Macaca fascicularis: one gene and its partners. The protein of the gene in region 1 purifies or fractionates together with the protein of each later gene. This does not show direct contact. Links are inferred from orthologs where the notes say so. Each region holds a gene or a part of one and is shown in the gene's direction. Other genes may lie near its edges.

Region 1 (3,860 bases):
TGTCATACTACATGTTACCTACCATCTAAGGGGCTCATTGATCGAGGACGGAATATAATGTTAAACAAAATACTGATCTGGCATTTGGATGGCTTTTTTTTTTTTAAGGCTCTGCGAACATCAATAGATGCTTATGACAACTTTGACAATATCTCGCTTGCTCAGCGTTTGGAAAAACATGAACTCATTGAGTTCAGGAGAATTGCTGCTTATCTCTTCAAAGGCAACAATCGCTGGAAACAGAGTGTAGAGCTGTGCAAGAAAGACAGCCTTTACAAGGTTGATAAAGTTGCGGGGCGGGGGCTGTTAAACCAGGCCTAAAATGATGTTACAAGTGATTTCTATAAATAAAAGTATTGGTTTTGTGAATATGAGAACTGACTTTAAGGCAATTTAAGTTAATGGATTTCTTGATTCTAGGGGCTCTCTTATGTTAAGGTCAAACTTGTTTGGGGGGAAAAAAAGGCCTTTAGCTTATCTGTTCTTTGAAAATTTTAATTTAAATGATACAACTAGGAGGCTTTTTTCCCCCTTGCAAAACCAGATTTATATTGGAAAGGTTCCATTGTTTTTCTTGGTTTACTAGTTTAGTATGTTGGGTCTAATGTTTTTTGACTTTCACTATTTTCTTTGAATAGGATGCAATGCAGTATGCTTCTGAATCTAAAGATACTGAGTTGGCTGAAGAACTCCTGCAGTGGTTTTTGCAGGAAGAAAAAAGAGAGTGCTTTGGAGCTTGTCTGTTTACCTGTTACGATCTTTTAAGGCCAGATGTTGTCCTAGAAACTGCATGGAGGCACAATATCATGGATTTTGCCATGCCCTATTTCATCCAGGTCATGAAGGAATACTTGACAAAGGTAATGACTCTTCTAAGTGTATTCAGAAGTAGTTTTCTTGCAGATATGTAAAATTCTACATGCACATTAATTTTTTTAATTTTTTTTATTTAGTAGAAGTCATTTAGTCGATCATAAAATATTCCTGTTCTTTTGAAAAATTTTTAATAGCTGATAAATGACACTGTTTGGAAGGGGAACTCAAATGTAGCTGTTTACCCTCAGTGTATTTATGATTGTGAAAATAATCTATATTTTGTTTTTTTATTTTAAAAACTATTCGATAAATTTTATTTCAAAGTCGCATTTTTCTCAAACTCAGTTCTTGTAACTCAAATAATCATAACTAGTATTGTAGATTCCCTTTTATTTGGTTGGCTCCTGACTTTAGTGATGTCTATGCCTGTTTCCCCTGGGGAAGCTGCATGTATATTCTTAACATCCTTTTAATCTTCACAATTTTTTTTGATAGTTTAACCCCTGATTTAAAAATATCATAGGAGGTGAACACATAAACAAGCTGGGGGTCTAATTGCCTTGTAAAATTCACTATTCATCTTAGTGTCCCTTTTTGATATAAGAATTTACTCACTCTGTCTTCAGCAGTTACTAGCTTTCTCTCTCTAGAACATTTTTAAATGGTTTTAGAGGATCCTTTTTGTCAAAGCAAAAAACATGATTAAAATCAGACTCTCCCAACTGATTCCTTCAGCCTGCCTGAGTTAAGGCGGGGGTAGGGGGAGTGGGAGCACTACCAACAACCCCTACTACACTGAATTTTTCCTCAGGATATCATTTAATTAGATACCATTGTGTCTGTTTCAAGTTTTTAAAGAATTAACATTTTCTGTATTCAATGTAAGAAAAAACATGTTGCCTTGTCTTAGCCAACATGTTTTAGCCATAGATGAGAATAGCTTCTTAAACATAATGCCAACTTGTGAGACCTGTCTCTAAGCTGCTGTTAACCTAAGTGCTGTAAATTTTACTAGTGATTAAGCTGCTTTCTTTCATACTGTAGCATAAATTCTTCTGCAGTAAGCTTTGAAGTTACAGAAAAATCTAAATTTTGCTTCCAGTATGCCCTTTATTTTCACTTCTCTCATACCTTTTTAGTGGTTAGATGTTTCTTCCCTAAACCTTTGTTGCTGATTCTACCTTTTTATGCTCAATATGGAATTTGATTTTTTTTCTAAGCTGCACCTTCTGAATTCCTTTGCAGGTTGATGCAATAAAGGAAAAGGTGAAAGTTGATTCTTTTCCATCTTTAAGTCTGGAGAACTAAGTCTAAGGAATTTGCATGATTTTTTTCCTTCCTTTTCTACACTGCTGCTGCTGCTTTTTCCCCCCAATAAATTTTCACTAAAGCCTCTGCAAGTCCCTTGAAACATAACTTTAATAGAACTGTAGGACATTAGTAGACGTTTGCTACTAATCGGCTAATAGGCTTTAGGAAGGGCAGGAGGCTAATCAGTAGTTGGTTCACAGTCTCTCTTAAATATATTATGAAAAACTGAGTATGGTGAGTTTCCATATTAATTCCAAAGTAACAGGAAATTTCTCTTCCCTGTCAGGGTATCTGGACCCTAATAGGACTATCATAATACTTGAAGTAAATTAAAACAGCCTCTGGTTTTACTTTGTGAGCTTGCCTGACAGTTGTTGAATTTATATATGTATATACATGCCCTAAAAGGCTTTTTGGGGTTTTTTTTTTTTTGGTATTGAAGGACTGTGATCCAGTTTCTGATCTCTTGATTCTTACTAATTTTTTGCTGAAAGTAGATACAAGAGATACTAGCTGCTTCCGAAGAGACTTTCCTCATGTTTCTCCAGGTGTCCAGTTCTTATGGTGCTAGTCCATTTTTAAGAGGAATCAAAACCTTTTTAATCACGAGAGCCAAGCTTGCTATAATTGTTGCTAAGCAACATGAATTACTTTTAACAAAGTATTAACTTCTACTTTCTGTAATAAGGCATACCACTGAAGCTACCTAAAATTTGCTCTCCTATTTATCAGTTGGCTTGTCCAAGGAGGTCAAATTCAGGCACCTTTTGGTTGCTGCTTCCTTCATTGGCTTGTCTCCATCCCAATATGAATGAAACAAACTTACGTCTGTTATCAAATTGTGGTTAGAAAAGGGTGGGAAGGTAAAGGAGAGTTGAAACAAATTGAAAATAATTTGGGTGGGGGACAATGCCTTGGGATTATGTTGAACCAAACTGGAGTCACCACTGGAACTTAGGGCAAACCTGAGTAAAATGCATTGTGTGTGAGACCCTTCAGCAGCTAGTAAGCAAGGCAGTTAGAAAGCGTGTGTGTGAAAAACAGGTAATTGAACTGCAGTGTTATGCATTGTTTTAAATGGAGCATGTACAACAGTCATTGCAATTACATCATACTATTTTTGAAACTCTTATAGCATTGCTGTGGGCTGTGTGTGTTTCTTGAGAGCCTGTATAGCAAGTCATCTTCAGATCACACTTCTTGCTTCAGTACTTTTGCCTTTTTTTCATGCACACATACACCAAAATAACTGACTGCATGTTACTTTTCCTCTGCAGCATATTGCAGTCTTTGTGGAAAAGCCTTTTACATTTTAGTGAATTTTCAGTAGTACAGATGGAACTGAATTCATTGACATGCTTACCTGTAATTTTTCTTTTTAAATCCAAGGATCAGAAACTTTTGTTACAGCTCTTAACAAAAGCTTGTGTTCTTAAAAGCCTTCTATGCTTTTTTTTTTTTTTTTTTTTTTTGAGCAATCTAAATTGGATCAGTGGAAACAAAAATTGAAAGTCCCTGTGCCAGAGGCTGTCCCATCATATAGAAGAATCAGAATTTTTTGCTTAGCTTGATGCTATTCCTTCAGAATTCTTCCCCCTATGCCCAGAGTTCCTATGTGTATGCCAGGGCATTGTGATATTGCCAGCTCTTCTAAGTCTTCCATGTGCTTCTCTAATAGGACTTCTGTGTTCAACATCTGATTCAGACCTTAACTTTTAAACACATGTTCACTT
Region 2 (2,768 bases), on another chromosome or scaffold:
AGGTTGTCTCCAATGGGTGTCTATAATTGTTCTTCTGCGGTCTCGCATGTCAGAAATTGCTATTTAGTGGTCAGCTTCTGATGTCCTGTCTCCTAGCACAGGGAAGCCCCCAGCTTTGAGATCAGGATAGGTTAGTTGAAGTGTCTGATATGGGCCACTTGGGCTTCTCCCCCAGACCCCTCAAAAGAAACCTGCATCTTCGCTGGAGAAGGTGTTTTTCTTTTTTTTTTTTTTTTTTTAAAACGATTCCTGTTATCAAAGCAGTGTTGCTGAAGAGCTAGAAACAGTTCTCATTGTCTCCTCCTTAAAAATTAGGGCTGGCTTTACAAGAGAAGTAAGGGTGGAATGGAAGAGGAGAGGAACCTGTAAAAGGTGGACGATGAGCTCAGGTCTGTAGAGCCTCTCAGGGCCTATGACCTTGAGATGTTCATCCCCTTAGAAGACAGAACTGGGTTTCCTGGGCCCCCAGATGCATTTGCAGTGAGACTTGTGAAATGCTGGACTTACAGGTGGTGTTTGATTTGATTTCTGCACATTCTCTCTGGAGTAGAAATGGAGACTTGGAAAGGTCGAGTCTGGTTTTGCTGGGCAGCTGGGTGGCCAGCAAAGCCAGCTGCACGTCCCTAAGCACAGATAGAGTGGCAAGGGCATGTCCAGCTTACTGACCATCTGCATTGAGCTCATTCTCATTTTCTATATCTGACTTAAAGTTTCTCTCGTTTCTTTTCTTCTCTTCACCTTTAAGCACAAACATAAACCATCCTTGCTACAGCCTAGAACAGTTAAGTAAACCTTTCTCACTGCCCCTAACTGTGTGTGCCATGAAGTCGCAGTGTTGTAGTGGCTCTGGGCTTCAGCGGTGTTTGCCACGGCCATCCCTGTGATAGTGCCACCCCTCCGTCCCTACAGACCAGTCATCTCCATTGCTTTTGCTTTGCCCGTGATGCTTGTTGGAGTAGATGAATATAGTGTGTCTTACTGCTGTCCTTTCCGGCTGTAGCTCCCACCAGTTAATTCCGAACTGGGGGTGGGCTGACCTTGATGTGAAAGAATGTTGGAGCAGCATCCTGCCAAAAAGCAACTCACGTTGGCTCTCCTGCCAGTGTGCCCTGAGTGGCCCCAAGGCACCTGGCTGGAGGGAAAATGGCAAACTTTTGGCTGACTGGAGAATGTCCTAACAAACCCCCTTCCAGAATGGCTTTAGTCTCTAGTGCCTGCTAGCATGGGAGCTTTGTCTTGAATTCCTTTTGATCTGCCCCGTTTCTCTCCAGCCTTAGGAATAAATCTAGAGGCTATTGTGCAATGATCTGTGGGCTTTTAGAAGTCTCTAAATTTCCTTGAAATTCAGTACAGCCCAGCATAAACTACTCAAGTTCTTGACCAGCCTGCTGCTTTGTTCTTGTTAATAAAAGCAGTGTGTAGCTGGCTAAGGACTTGTTTTATTAATGCTCCACAGGAGCAGAGACAGCCAGACAGAGAGACGTAGTGAGCCCTGAACCAAACACCTGTATTCCAACATTTTACACAGTGGTCTGGGCACGCTGTGCCTAGGAGAGCCAGCGACGTGTCTACCTGAGTCTGACCTGGGCCAGGGACTGTTATCTTGGGAAAGCCAGAATGCCATTAAGAAAGGGACAAACAGGCAGTTGCTTGTGTAGCAAGGCAGCCACCAGGTTGCTCAAAGGGGGTTCTACATAAACCAACATATTTTGTTGTTGCTTCCAGGGCAGCAGAAGAAGCCTTTGTAAATGACATTGACGAGTCATCCCCAGGCACTGAGTGGGAACGGGTGGCCCGGCTGTGTGACTTTAACCCCAAGTCTAGCAAGCAGGCCAAAGACGTCTCCCGCATGCGTTCAGTCCTCATCTCCCTCAAGCAGGCCCCGCTGGTGCACTGAAGAGCCACCCTGTGGAAACACTACATCTGCAATATAATCCTACTCAGTGAAGCTCTTCACAGTCATTGGATTAATTATGTTGAGTTCTTTTGGACCAAACCTTTTTGTCTTTAGAGTTGATCATTGTTTGTGATTGCATGTTTCCTTCAACTGTGTTCTCCCTGGCATTCAGAGAGGAGGGGGAGGAGCAAGAGGAAGGGGAGGGAAGCCTCCCAACAGTAGCCTCAACCTGTGCTTTTGTGCATTATTCTGAGAATAAATTTCTGTTTCAAACTGTATTATGTGAAGCTTCTTTATTGACCTCAAGATGTGTTGTAGTTTGGAGTGAGGTTGGAAGGGTTGAGGAATTTCCTTGAAATTTGTAGGGCTGAGGAGGCACAGCCACTGGGCACACAGCCCTGCCTTGAACTGAGATAGCGCCAGGATCTAGAGTGGGATTCTGTGGACATTTTCATTTGAGAAGGGAGTTTAATGGCTGAGGGGGTTATAGCGCCGGGATCTAGAGTGGGATTCTGTGGACATTTTCATTTGAGAAGGGAGTTTAATGGCTGAGGGGGTTATAGCGCCGGGATCTAGAGTGGGATTCTGTGGACATTTTCATTTGAGAAGGGAGTTTAATGGCTGAGGGGGTTATAGCGCCGGGATCTAGAGTGGGATTCTGTGGACATTTTCATTTGAGAAGGGAGTTTAATGGCTGAGGGGGTTATAGCGCCGGGATCTAGAGTGGGATTCTGTGGACATTTTCATTTGAGAAGGGAGTTTAATGGCTGAAGGTTAACCCCCTCATTATCTACCTAAGACACAGCTGTGAATCCTCTCACCAACCTAGTTGTTTTCTCCCAGATGGGCTCGTTTGCCAGTGTCCCTCGGT
Region 3 (3,204 bases), on another chromosome or scaffold:
CTGGGGCAGCCGCCAACCCCCCTGCACACCCAGCTCTACCCAGGTCCTGCTCAAGACCCTCTGCCAGCCCACTCAGGGGCTCTGCCTTTCCCCAGCCCTGGGCCCCCTCAGCCTCCCCATCCCCCCCTGGCATATGGTCCTGCCCCTTCTGCCAGACCCGTGGGCCCCCAGGCAGCCCCTCTTACCATCCGAGGGCCCTCGCCTGCTGGCCAGCCCACCCCCAGTCCCCACCTAGTGCCTTCACCTGCTCCATCTCCAGGGCCCGGTTCTGTGCCCCCTCGGCCCCCAGCAGCAGAACCACCCCCTTGCCTGCGCCGAGGCGCTGCAGCTGCAGACCTGCTCTCCTCCAGCCCGGAGAGCCAGCATGGCAGCACTCAGCCTCCTGGGGGTGGGCAGCCCCTGCTGCAGCCCACCAAGGTGGACGCAGCTGAGGGCCGTCGGCCGCAGGCCCTGCGGCTGATTGAGCGGGACCCCTATGAGCATCCTGAGAGGCTGCGGCAGTTGCAGCAGGAGCTGGAGGCCTTTCGGGGCCAGCTGGGGGATGTGGGGGCTCTGGACACTGTCTGGCGGGAACTGCAAGATGCACAGGAACATGATGCCCGAGGCCGTTCCATCGCCATCGCCCGCTGCTACTCACTGAAAAACCGGTACCAGGATGTCATGCCGTACGACAGTAACCGTGTGGTACTGCGCTCAGGCAAGGATGACTACATCAATGCCAGCTGCGTGGAGGGGCTCTCCCCATACTGCCCGCCACTAGTGGCCACCCAGGCCCCACTGCCCGGCACAGCTGCTGACTTCTGGCTCATGGTCCATGAGCAGAAAGTGTCAGTCATTGTCATGCTGGTTTCTGAGGCTGAGATGGAGAAGGTGAGAGGGGCTGGGTGCCCACGAGGGCAGTGTGGGGTGGCAGGGCAGGGGATCCTGGAAAACCAGCCCTGCTTTGGTTTGTCTGTCCCTCAGCAAAAAGTGGCACGCTACTTCCCCACCGAGAGGGGCCAGCCCATGGTGCACGGTGCCCTGAGCCTGGCATTGAGCAGCGTCCGCAGCACTGAAACGCATGTGGAACGTGTGCTGAGCCTGCAGTTCCGAGACCAGAGCCTCAAGCGCTCTCTCGTGCACCTCCACTTCCCCACTTGGCCTGAGTTGTGCGTCCACTGCTCTGGATGGTGGCTGGGGGTCTGGGGTGCTGTCCAGTCCTTGGTGCTGGGAGGGATGAGAGCCTGAGATCAGGTCTGGCTCATAGGCTCTTCCCCACCCCATCCTGTCCCACAGAGGCCTGCCCGACAGCCCCAGCAACTTGCTGCACTTCATCCAGGAGGTGCACGCACATTACCTGCATCAGCGGCCGCTGCACACGCCCATCGTTGTGCACTGCAGGTAGAGGGTGGGCCTGACAGTCTCTATGCGGGCTCTTGGCCTGGCCTCATTCCCCAGCCTCATGCCCCCTTCTTGGCACAGCTCTGGTGTGGGCCGCACGGGAGCCTTTGCGCTGCTCTACGCAGCTGTGCAGGAGGTGGAGGCTGGGAATGGAATCCCTGAGCTGCCTCAACTGGTGCGACGCATGCGGCAGCAGAGGAAGCACATGCTGCAGGAGAAGGTGAGGATCTGGGCAGGTGGGGCTGGGATGGGCCTTCTGTCTCCGGGTGACGGGCCCCTGCCTGGCTGACCTGGCCAAATGCACCTGTGCAGCTGCACCTCCGGTTCTGCTATGAGGCAGTGGTGAGACACGTGGAGCAGGTCCTGCAGCGCCATGGTGTGCCCCCTCCATGCAAACCCTTGGCCAGCGCAAGCATCAGCCAGAAGGTGAGGAAGGTTCCCTGGAAGCTGCTGGGACAGCCACAACCTTGGGACTCCCTCTCCTCACCCACTCTGTCTTCTCAGAACCACCTTCCTCAGGACTCCCAGGACCTGGTCCTCGGTGGGGATGTGCCCATCAGCTCCATCCAGGCCACCATTGCCAAGCTCAGCATCCGGCCTCCTGGGGGATTGGAGTCCCCAGTTGCCAGCTTGCCAGGCCCTGCAGAGCCCCCAGGCCTCCCGCCAGCCAGCCTCCCAGAGTCTACCCCAATCCCATCTTCCTCCCCGCCCCCCCTTTCCTCCCCGCTGCCTGAGGCTCCCCAGCCTAAGGAGGAGCCGCCAGTGCCTGAAGCCCCCAGCTCGGGGCCCCCCTCCTCCTCCCTGGAGCTGCTGGCCTCCTTGACCCCAGAGGCCTTCTCCCTGGATAGCTCCCTGCGGGGCAAGCAGCGGATGAGCAAGCAGAACTTTCTGCAGGCCCATAACGGGCAAGGGCTACGGGCCACCCAGCCCTCTGACGACCCCCTCAGCCTTCTGGATCCACTGTGGACACTCAACAAGACCTGAACAGGTTTCGCCTACCTGGTCCTTACACTACATCTCTCATGCCCACCTGCCCACACCCAGCAGAGCTTCTCAGTGGGCACAGTCTCTTACTCCCATTTCTGCTGCCTTTGGCCTGCCTGGCCCAGTCTGCACCCCTGTGGGGTGGAGATGTACTGCAGGCTCTGGGTCAGGTTCTGCTCCTTTATGAGACCTGACATTTTTCAGCTCTTTGCTATTGAAATAATAAACCACCCTGTTCTGTGGCCCATGTCTGAGTCTGCCCATTGCTGCCTCAGCTCCAGTAGCACTGGCAGGAACTTAGCACCTTTCGTGGATAACAGGATGGTACCAAACTGTTATACTACCAGGACAGTTCTTTAAGGGTCCTGCAGTTCTGGCTTGCTCATCCTCCCCGCTTTGCTACCTGTGCCATGCTGTATGTTTCCTCAGCAGCTCTGAGGAGGGTCCAGGCAGAGTGTGTGCACAAACAATTCCGAGAGAGACAAGTAGCTCCCAAAGTGCCTGACAGATGTGGTTTTTTAAAAAAGTTTAATATTACAGTCAGGAGGCAGCGGCTGGAAGATACTCGGCTCTTTCCCCCAAGTCCAGGTTCAGTGCATTGGCCCCCACACAGCACCCCAGACCCCTGCCTGGGCAGGGAGGCCCCATGCTCAGTCCAGCTTCTCCAGCACGGAGGGCACATACACCAGGCTGAGCTCACTGCCAAAGTTGCAGACAATGGCAGCGTTGTCCAGCACCAGGATCTGGCGGGCAGGCTGGGCCTCACTGTTCTTCCCCAGGTAGACTGTCTGTAACAGGTCCCCGTAGTTTAGGTCCCAAAAGGAGACACAGCCTTGGCCG
Region 4 (3,860 bases), on another chromosome or scaffold:
TGTAATATAATCTCTTAATTTTAGAAATGAATTCGTATCCACAGCATTTTTGATAAGTAATTTTATAGATTATGCAGAAAAAAATCTTCAAAAGCACTTGTATTTTAAGTTATTTTTGTGCTTAATTCAGATTGCTTTAATATCTGTGCTTTAAAGAATTGTTGACCAGGTGCAGTGGCTCATGCCTGTAATCCCAGCACTTTGGGAGGCTGAGGCCGGCAGATCACTTGAGGTCAGGAGTTCAAGACCAGCCTGTGTAACATGGTGAAACCCTGTCTCTACTAAAAATACACAAATTAGCTGGATGTGGTGGCGCATGTCTGTAATTCCAGCTACTCGGGAGGCTGAGGCAAGAGAATCACTTGAACCCGGGAGGTGGAGGTTGCAGTGAGCCAAGATTGTACCACTGCCCTCCAGCCTGTGTGACAGGGAATCTGTCTCAAAAATAAATAAATAAATAGTTACAAGTGACTTACATTTTATATCTTTTAGTATACAGCATTTATCTCATTTGAGAAACACCTTGTCAACTGAAGCAGGGTATTTTTAATACTTTTAATGCCTATAAAGTTTTGTCTTGAAATGAGAACATTTGAGAAGTATAGAACAAATATATATATATACATGTGTATATATATATTTTTAACCTAATTTTAAATTAGGCCATTATTACAATTACATTTTATTCTACGATAAATTTATATGAAGTTGATCTCATAATGACTCTTGGTTCTGGTTTTATATTTTCAGAGTACTTTGAGCATAACAGTTATGAACAATTTTGCATCAACTATTGCAATGAAAAACTTCAACAATTTTTTAATGAAAGGATTCTGAAGGAGGTAATTGCCCTTATAACTTAAATTTAAGATCTGCATAAAGCTGTTTTAAATTTCAAGGAAGAGATATGCTGCAGTTACCCTGATTGGTGGGGATGGATGTTGTATAATGGAAGGTGACTGAAGCCCGGCAGAGGCCCCGGGGCTCAAGCACATCAAAAGTGTTAATGGTTCAGCTGAAGTTTAGGGACCTGATAAAAACTCTTAATGGGGGCTTCCTCAGAAGTGAACATCTATTTTTATTAGTGACTTTTAATAGACTTGAAGCTCTGTTTCTTTTTATGATTTTGTTGTCTCTACTTTTTTGTTAAATTTATTTTTAAATTTATTTTTATTTTTATTTTTATTTTGAAACAGTCTCGCTCTGTTGCTCAGGCTGGAGTGCAGTGGTGTGATCTTGGCTCACTGCAGCCTCCGTCTCCCGGGTTCAAGCGATTCTCCTGCCTCAGCCTCTCCAGTAGCTGGGACCACAGGCGCGGGCTACCACACCCAACAGATTTTTGTATGTTTAGTAGAGACGGGGTTTCACAATTTTAGCCAGGCTAGTCTCGAACTCCTGGCCTCAAGTAATCCGCCTGCCTCAGCCTCCCAAATGCTGGGCTTACAGGTGTGAGCCACCGCGCCTGGTCTGTTGTCTCTACTTCTACCACACCAAACAACTTTCTACCCTCATCCCTGCCTTTGGCATCTCTCATTCTGTTTTTTGTTTGTTTGTTTGTTTTTTAGATGAAGTCTTGCCCAGGCTGAAGTGCAGTGGTGCGATCTGGGCTCACTGCAACCTCTGCCTCTTGGGTTCAGGTGATTCTCCTCCCTCAGTCTCCTGAGTAGCTGGGACTACAGGCACGTGCCACCATGGCCAGCTAATTTTTATATTTTTAGTAGAGATGGTGTTTCACCATGTTGGCCAGGCTGGCCTTGAACTCCTGACCTCAGGTGATCTGCCTGCCTCAGCCTCTCAAAGTGTTGGGATTAAAGGCGTGAGTCACCATGCCCTACTGTACCTCCCCTTCTTCAGGTCTCTCTGCTTCTGCCTACTCTGCTGCCTGCTCACCTTTCTCTGTCTGGCAGCAAAGCCACCAAGTCAGCAGATTTGATGCGTCGATTGTCCTGGAGTGCCTCTGGGCAGTACTTTCCTTGTCACGCCACCTTGTGGACTGTCAGCTGCTTCTACTGTATCTGGGCTGGAATGTGCAGTATTTTATTTCCTATTCCCATCCTTTCTATCTTTCCCACATTTTTATTATGTTTATGTTTTTACGGGCTTCCCAGCACATTCTAGCTTTTGTACATTTTACTTACATTCTATAGTTAAATAAATTCTGGCATAAACAAACAGGTAAAACAAGTATTTACCAGTAAGGTAATTTCTCTGAAAATGTTTATCCAGTCACATTAGTTCTATTACTATGCGAAGTTTTACCTTCATGCCTGTAATTTAACGTAAGCTAATCCTTCCCTTCTACACCAACCTACCGAAAAACTTTATCTAGAAACATTATAAAAAGGAGACTGTATTTTGATTTATGTTCACCTTTTTAATATCCTTTAAAATAAATGTGAATTTCAAATTGAGATGTGTTAAAGTGGACAGTGCCTTCTAGAATGTTGGAAACCTTTTCTAGTATCTCTCATGAGAGGAAATATTTAAACATTCAGGAAACAACATTAAAACATATTTACTTAAATTCATTGCATAGTTTACCCATCTATGATAAAATCTCTTTAAAAATTTTAAGAAGACACAAGACATGGTTGAGGACTCAAATTTGACCATATATTGTTCTTCCAAATTACGCTTATTTTCCCCAAGTGATGTATGCCTCGTATATATCACTGTATTGATATTAGAGTCCATTTGCAGTTAATTGCTATTTCCTTGCCTTTAGTGCCTGTCTGCAAATGTTCAAAATCTGGTATGTTTTTGGAAAACATTTAAGGCTATACCAGTTTGTATAAACCTTTGCATTCTAATTAGTAAATGTTATGTTCAGAAACAGCACAAAATTTACTATTGCTCTGTATTTCCATATCTATGATTATGATTATTGCATTTTTAGGAACAAGAACTCTATCAAAAAGAAGGTTTAGGTGTTAATGAAGTACATTATGTGGATAATCAGGACTGTATAGGTATGTGTTTTTTAACTCCATCTTTGAAAAATATGGGAAGATAAAGTGAATGGGTTCAGTACTTTTTCTGTGCTTTGTAATTGACATGACTTGTTATATGACTTGAAACTGGTGTTTGAGAGAAGGTTACTTCTCTATTACTGCTTGGAAGTTATTTTTTCCTACCAAGACATCAAAGTTATCTTTGTTGGAAGTTTTCTATAATCTCTTCTATTTATTTTGAAGGATGTTTTCCTACTTAAATAGTTAGCATGTGAATTGGTTAAGGGGGAAACTTAATTGCCTAGTCAGCAAAGAGATTTATTCACCTGAGGAAGTCCATAGTTAGGCCAGGCTCCAGGCAAGTTTGTCAGGGTCTGCCCTGCTTTTCTGTGATTCTCTTGGTTCTGCTGTACTCTGTGCATTGACAGCACCCTCTAACTGGTTGTGAGTTGACTTCATGTGTCACAGCCAGATAACACTGTGCAGCAGGAGAATAGAGGCTCTGCTTTCATTTTAGTGGTAAAGAAACCTTTCCCTGTAGCCCCACAGCCGGTTTTCAGTCTTTCGTTTCTTCCCCACCCCATCTCTAAAATAGACCGTTGGGCAAGCCTTGTTTTTAAAACACAATTTGACAATCCTGTTAGTAACTGATGGGCTAGATTTGAAAAAAAAAAATAGTATAATAATAATATTACTTTACATCAGTATAAATTTTCAAAGCATTTTCACATTTCATCTGGTCCACTCCACGTTTCCTTAACACACTGACCCTTTCTAACCTCTGTGTCTTTGACTGTGTGGTTTGATATGGCTGGAACTCTTTCCCTTCAGTTTGTCTTTTGGCCCACTTTCACCTGCTACTACATCTATCAAAATACTCGCATTCGTAGCTTAGTTCAGCATGCCCCT
Region 5 (3,730 bases), on another chromosome or scaffold:
CCTCTGGGCCATTCCTGGGGGAGAGGCTGGGAGGGAGCGTGAGGCACTCTCTGGGTCACTAAGAAAGGGCAGGGAGGCCATGCTACCCTCTCTGGTTTATCAGAGTAGACCCAGAGCGGCTCCATATCCTGGGCCTTCACACAGAGCCACAGCCTGCCTTCTCATTCTGCACCCCCTTGCACACGCTGGACCTATCCTAGCCTCCGAGGCGCTAATGAGATTAGGCTCCTCTGGTTCCTGCTGCCTGTTTTTCTTCCTCAGAGAGCTTGAGATAAAGTCACAGAATGGGCCTGTGGCAGTGCTCCTCATTTGGCTCCCTGGCTGATGGGCTGGCCTGGCCCTTGCGGGTGTTTGTCCATTGGCTGGTGGTGTGGCATGAGTTAGAGCTGCAGCTGTGGCAAGGTCTGGCCTGCCTGAATCTGGCTGGCTACACCCCCCACCCCCACCCCCGGCCCCCCTCCTGCGTTGGATGGACTAGGCAAGCCAAGGCTGGGTCACACGCCACCTTGCCTGTCTTGTCTGCTTCCACCTCACGGTGTGTGCTGCCCTCCCGGTGTGTTGTGTGTCTAACCCTCTCTCTCGTTGCTGTCACTCTCCTCTTCTTGCTGGCGTCATTTCTCTCATCCCATCTCATTGACTGCCGTAGCAATAGGTAAGCGGCCTCTCAAGCTGCTGCCCAGGTACAGGTGGGTGGGGGCCCTGCCCCCATCATTGTTTTCCTGCATCCTTTTTCATTCCCTGAACTTGCTCTGGAGTTGGATCCTGGGCAAGAATGGGTAGCACAGTTCCATGGCCCCTTGGTACTTCCTCCTTTGTGACTTCTGAAGCCATGCTGGCTTTGTATAACATCTGGAGGAGTCGGCCCTCCCCACTGGTGGGATCACTAGTGGGAGGACTGGAGAAGCAGTGTCTCTTTCTGTCCTGGACCTGGGAGCTTACAGGGAAGCTAGATAAAGCTGGGAAATTAGGGCCAGCCCTGGGAGTCAAGAATATCTGTCTCTAAACCTGATGAACCTCACTTTATTAAGGTTACATCGGCCTTAATAGTTGACTTCCCTATTTCTTGTGGCCTTTAGACACTAGCCCAGCTCAGGCACTCTTCCCATGCCTCCACAGGGAGTCATAAGAAGGGAACCACCCCAGTGGTTTAGGCATTGGCTTTCTTTAGATTGTGTGTGTCAGACTTCTGCAGAAAGGTGGGTGGAGCTGTTAACAGCTGTGGTTGATCCTTGTGGGGTAAGGTTCGCCTGGGTGCTGAGCAGGCCCTGTGCACCCTTTCCCCTCAGGAGGAACGCAGTGGATGCCTTTCGGGTCAATGTTATCCATGCCCGGCAGCAGGTGCGCAGCCCCGTCACCAACATTGCTCGCACCAGCTTCTTCCACGTTAAGCGGTCCAACATTTGGCTGGCAGCAGTCACCAAGCAGAATGTCAACGCTGCCATGGTCTTCGAATTCCTCTATAAGATGTGTGACGTGATGGCTGCCTACTTTGGCAAGATCAGCGAGGAAAACATCAAGAACAATTTTGTACTCATATATGAGCTGCTGGATGGTGAGGCTGGTGGGCTGGCAGGGCAGGGGGCCTAGGGTGGGAAAGAACCAGGCTGGGCCTGGCCTGAAAGTGGGTGTAGGTCCGAGGCTCTGGTACACTCTGAACTTTCTTTCCTGAGTATCTGGGCTCTTGGACTAGGATCTCTATGCCCCTCAGAAGGCCAGTTCACATCCAAACCTAAAGGCTGGTCTGAAGTAGAACACAGAAATAGGCCAGCAGGTGTGGAGGGGAAGTTTTGGTCTTCCACGGGGCTAGGAACCTGACTCAGGTTTGGTGGTGAGCCTCCTGTATTCATCCTCTTTCCTTTGTGGCTTGGACCTTACTTCACTGACTGTCCACCCAGTTTTCCATCTCAGCAGCTGCTTCAGAGCCTGGGGGAGACTGAGATACTACAAGCCTCTGGGGGTGCACTGTTACCTCTGTTTCTCTGTAGAGTGTGATCTAAGGGAAGGTGAATCCTTCCACCTTCCCATTGTCTATTTTCTGGAGAAAACAGCTCAAAGCTTCTTGATTTGCCACCCACTGGCCATGTGACTCTTCTATTGATTTCTTTTTTTTTTTTTTTTTTTTTTGAGACAGGGTCTTACTGTTGTCGCCTATGCTGAGTGCAGTGGTGTAATCGCAGCTCACTGAAGCCTTGACCTCCCAGGCTCAAGCAATCCTCCAGCCTTAGCCTCCTGAGTAGCTGGGACCACAGGCACATGCCACCATGCTTGGCTCATTTTTACTATTTTTTGTAGAGCTGGGTCTCGCTATGTTGCCCAGGCTGGTCTTGAACTCCTGGGCTGAAGTGATTCTCCCACCTTGGCCTCCCAAAGTGTTGGGATTATAGGCATAAGCCACTGCGCCTGGCCTTGATTTCTCTATTTGAAAAAATCAAACATTTGAATTGTTTTCCTGTAAAGCACAAATCACAGAATAAATGCTACAAAGCTAGAAGACTTTGTTGCAGATGATCCCACATGGTCTTTGGGAGCTGTGCCAGTCAGACATGTGTAGGCCCAAGTAGGGACTGGAATGAGAAGGTTTGTTCAGGGGCTGATGGTTCCCTTCTTTTTCAGAGATTCTAGACTTTGGCTATCCACAGAATTCCGAGACAGGCGCGCTGAAAACCTTCATCACGCAGCAGGGCATCAAGAGTCAGGTACTTGAATTGTGCAGACTATAGTCAGGGTGCAGGCCAATCTCCCTTCATCTCAGCTGGCCCCTGAGCCTTGTCTGAGCTGACTCATAAGCCCTCCCATAACAGGAAGTGCTGGCCTGAGCCTCCTGCCATGATTGCAGGCCTATTTTGCTCTATGTGGTCCTCCCACTGCAGGAGCAGCCAATTCAGCATCTCTGTTACCAGGAATACAGCTCAAGCAGTTTCCTTTTGCACTGAGGGTTGGGGGAGGAGGCCTGGTCTTGAGGCCTGGTGTTCCTCAGGAGGAGAGAGCTTGGGCCCTCTCCTATAGGATCCAAGCCTCATAGCTTTCTCCTCCTTTTCTGCCTCCCTTGCTACTTCATGTGGGCACCTCGTTGGCCCTGCGGCCTCCAGCATCAGGTAAGCCCTTCCCTTAGCTTCCGCCCTTGCAGCTTTGCTTTGTTTCTCCAGGCCCTGCCCTTTGGGGCTTATAGGGGAAAATGGATTACAGGTGGGGACTAGAAGGGATGGGGAATGAGGGTGGAGTGGGGATAGAGACAGGATGATTAAAGGGAGAGGGGAGTGAGGCTCTTGCTGTTTGTTTCTGCTCCCATGTAGACAAAAGAAGAGCAGTCACAGATCACCAGCCAGGTGACTGGGCAGATTGGCTGGCGGCGAGAGGGTATCAAGTATCGCCGGAATGAGCTCTTCCTGGATGTGCTGGAGAGTGTGAACCTGCTCATGTCCCCACAAGGTGAGGTCCCTCTCACAACAAAGCTGGAGGGGGACCAGGGCAGGATCCTGGGTCTGCCTGCCTGACTCTGCTGCTCCCCATTTATCTGTTCCATCATCAGGGCAGGTGCTGAGTGCCCATGTGTCGGGCCGGGTGGTGATGAAGAGCTACCTGAGTGGCATGCCTGAATGCAAGTTTGGGATGAATGACAAGATTGTTATTGAAAAGCAGGGCAAAGGCACAGCTGATGAAACAAGCAAGAGGTGCCTGAGGCAGGAGAGCTGGTGGGAAAGGGTGTCCCTTGGAGGGCTCGGTGGGGTCT

Evidence for each region. The genes of interacting proteins can lie anywhere in the genome.
Region 2: the proteins of CLTC (region 1) and CLTA purify together in Homo sapiens (co-immunoprecipitation; 6 studies listed by BioGRID and IntAct, with this or other methods). This does not show direct contact. The link is inferred for Macaca fascicularis from reciprocal best matches to the Homo sapiens genes CLTC and CLTA.
Region 3: the proteins of CLTC (region 1) and PTPN23 purify together in Homo sapiens (affinity purification with mass spectrometry; 3 studies listed by BioGRID and IntAct, with this or other methods). This does not show direct contact. The link is inferred for Macaca fascicularis from reciprocal best matches to the Homo sapiens genes CLTC and PTPN23.
Region 4: the proteins of CLTC (region 1) and MYO6 purify together in Homo sapiens (affinity purification with western blotting; 4 studies listed by BioGRID and IntAct, with this or other methods). This does not show direct contact. The link is inferred for Macaca fascicularis from reciprocal best matches to the Homo sapiens genes CLTC and MYO6.
Region 5: the proteins of CLTC (region 1) and AP2M1 purify together in Homo sapiens (affinity purification with mass spectrometry; 3 studies listed by BioGRID and IntAct, with this or other methods). This does not show direct contact. The link is inferred for Macaca fascicularis from reciprocal best matches to the Homo sapiens genes CLTC and AP2M1.

The regions. Positions count from the first base shown.
Region 1 is NC_088390.1:47,021,176-47,025,035, reverse strand, and holds part of CLTC (clathrin heavy chain 1), read left to right. Parts: intron 1-108; coding exon 109-279; intron 280-638; coding exon 639-860; intron 861-2,061; coding exon 2,062-2,082; intron 2,083-3,860. UniProt on the Homo sapiens protein: Clathrin is the major protein of the polyhedral coat of coated pits and vesicles. Two different adapter protein complexes link the clathrin lattice either to the plasma membrane or to the trans-Golgi network.
Region 2 is NC_088389.1:63,142,900-63,145,667, reverse strand, and holds the end of CLTA (clathrin light chain A), read left to right. Parts: intron 1-745; coding exon 746-781; intron 782-1,725; coding exon 1,726-1,897; 3' UTR 1,898-2,175; downstream 2,176-2,768. UniProt on the Homo sapiens protein: Clathrin is the major protein of the polyhedral coat of coated pits and vesicles.
Region 3 is NC_088376.1:110,332,109-110,335,312, forward strand, and holds the end of PTPN23 (tyrosine-protein phosphatase non-receptor type 23), read left to right. Parts: coding exon 1-870; intron 871-963; coding exon 964-1,148; intron 1,149-1,275; coding exon 1,276-1,380; intron 1,381-1,461; coding exon 1,462-1,600; intron 1,601-1,692; coding exon 1,693-1,806; intron 1,807-1,884; coding exon 1,885-2,364; 3' UTR 2,365-2,611; downstream 2,612-3,204. Other genes in the region: SCAP (sterol regulatory element-binding protein cleavage-activating protein), read right to left, coding at 3,015-3,204. UniProt on the Homo sapiens protein: Plays a role in sorting of endocytic ubiquitinated cargos into multivesicular bodies (MVBs) via its interaction with the ESCRT-I complex (endosomal sorting complex required for transport I), and possibly also other ESCRT complexes.
Region 4 is NC_088378.1:99,257,832-99,261,691, reverse strand, and holds part of MYO6 (unconventional myosin-VI), read left to right. Parts: intron 1-750; coding exon 751-842; intron 843-2,896; coding exon 2,897-2,969; intron 2,970-3,860. UniProt on the Homo sapiens protein: Myosins are actin-based motor molecules with ATPase activity. Unconventional myosins serve in intracellular movements. Myosin 6 is a reverse-direction motor protein that moves towards the minus-end of actin filaments.
Region 5 is NC_088376.1:96,096,846-96,100,575, forward strand, and holds part of AP2M1 (AP-2 complex subunit mu), read left to right. Parts: intron 1-1,286; coding exon 1,287-1,552; intron 1,553-2,613; coding exon 2,614-2,696; exon of another isoform or gene 2,697-3,056; coding exon of another isoform or gene 3,057-3,095; intron 3,096-3,293; coding exon 3,294-3,429; intron 3,430-3,529; coding exon 3,530-3,671; intron 3,672-3,730.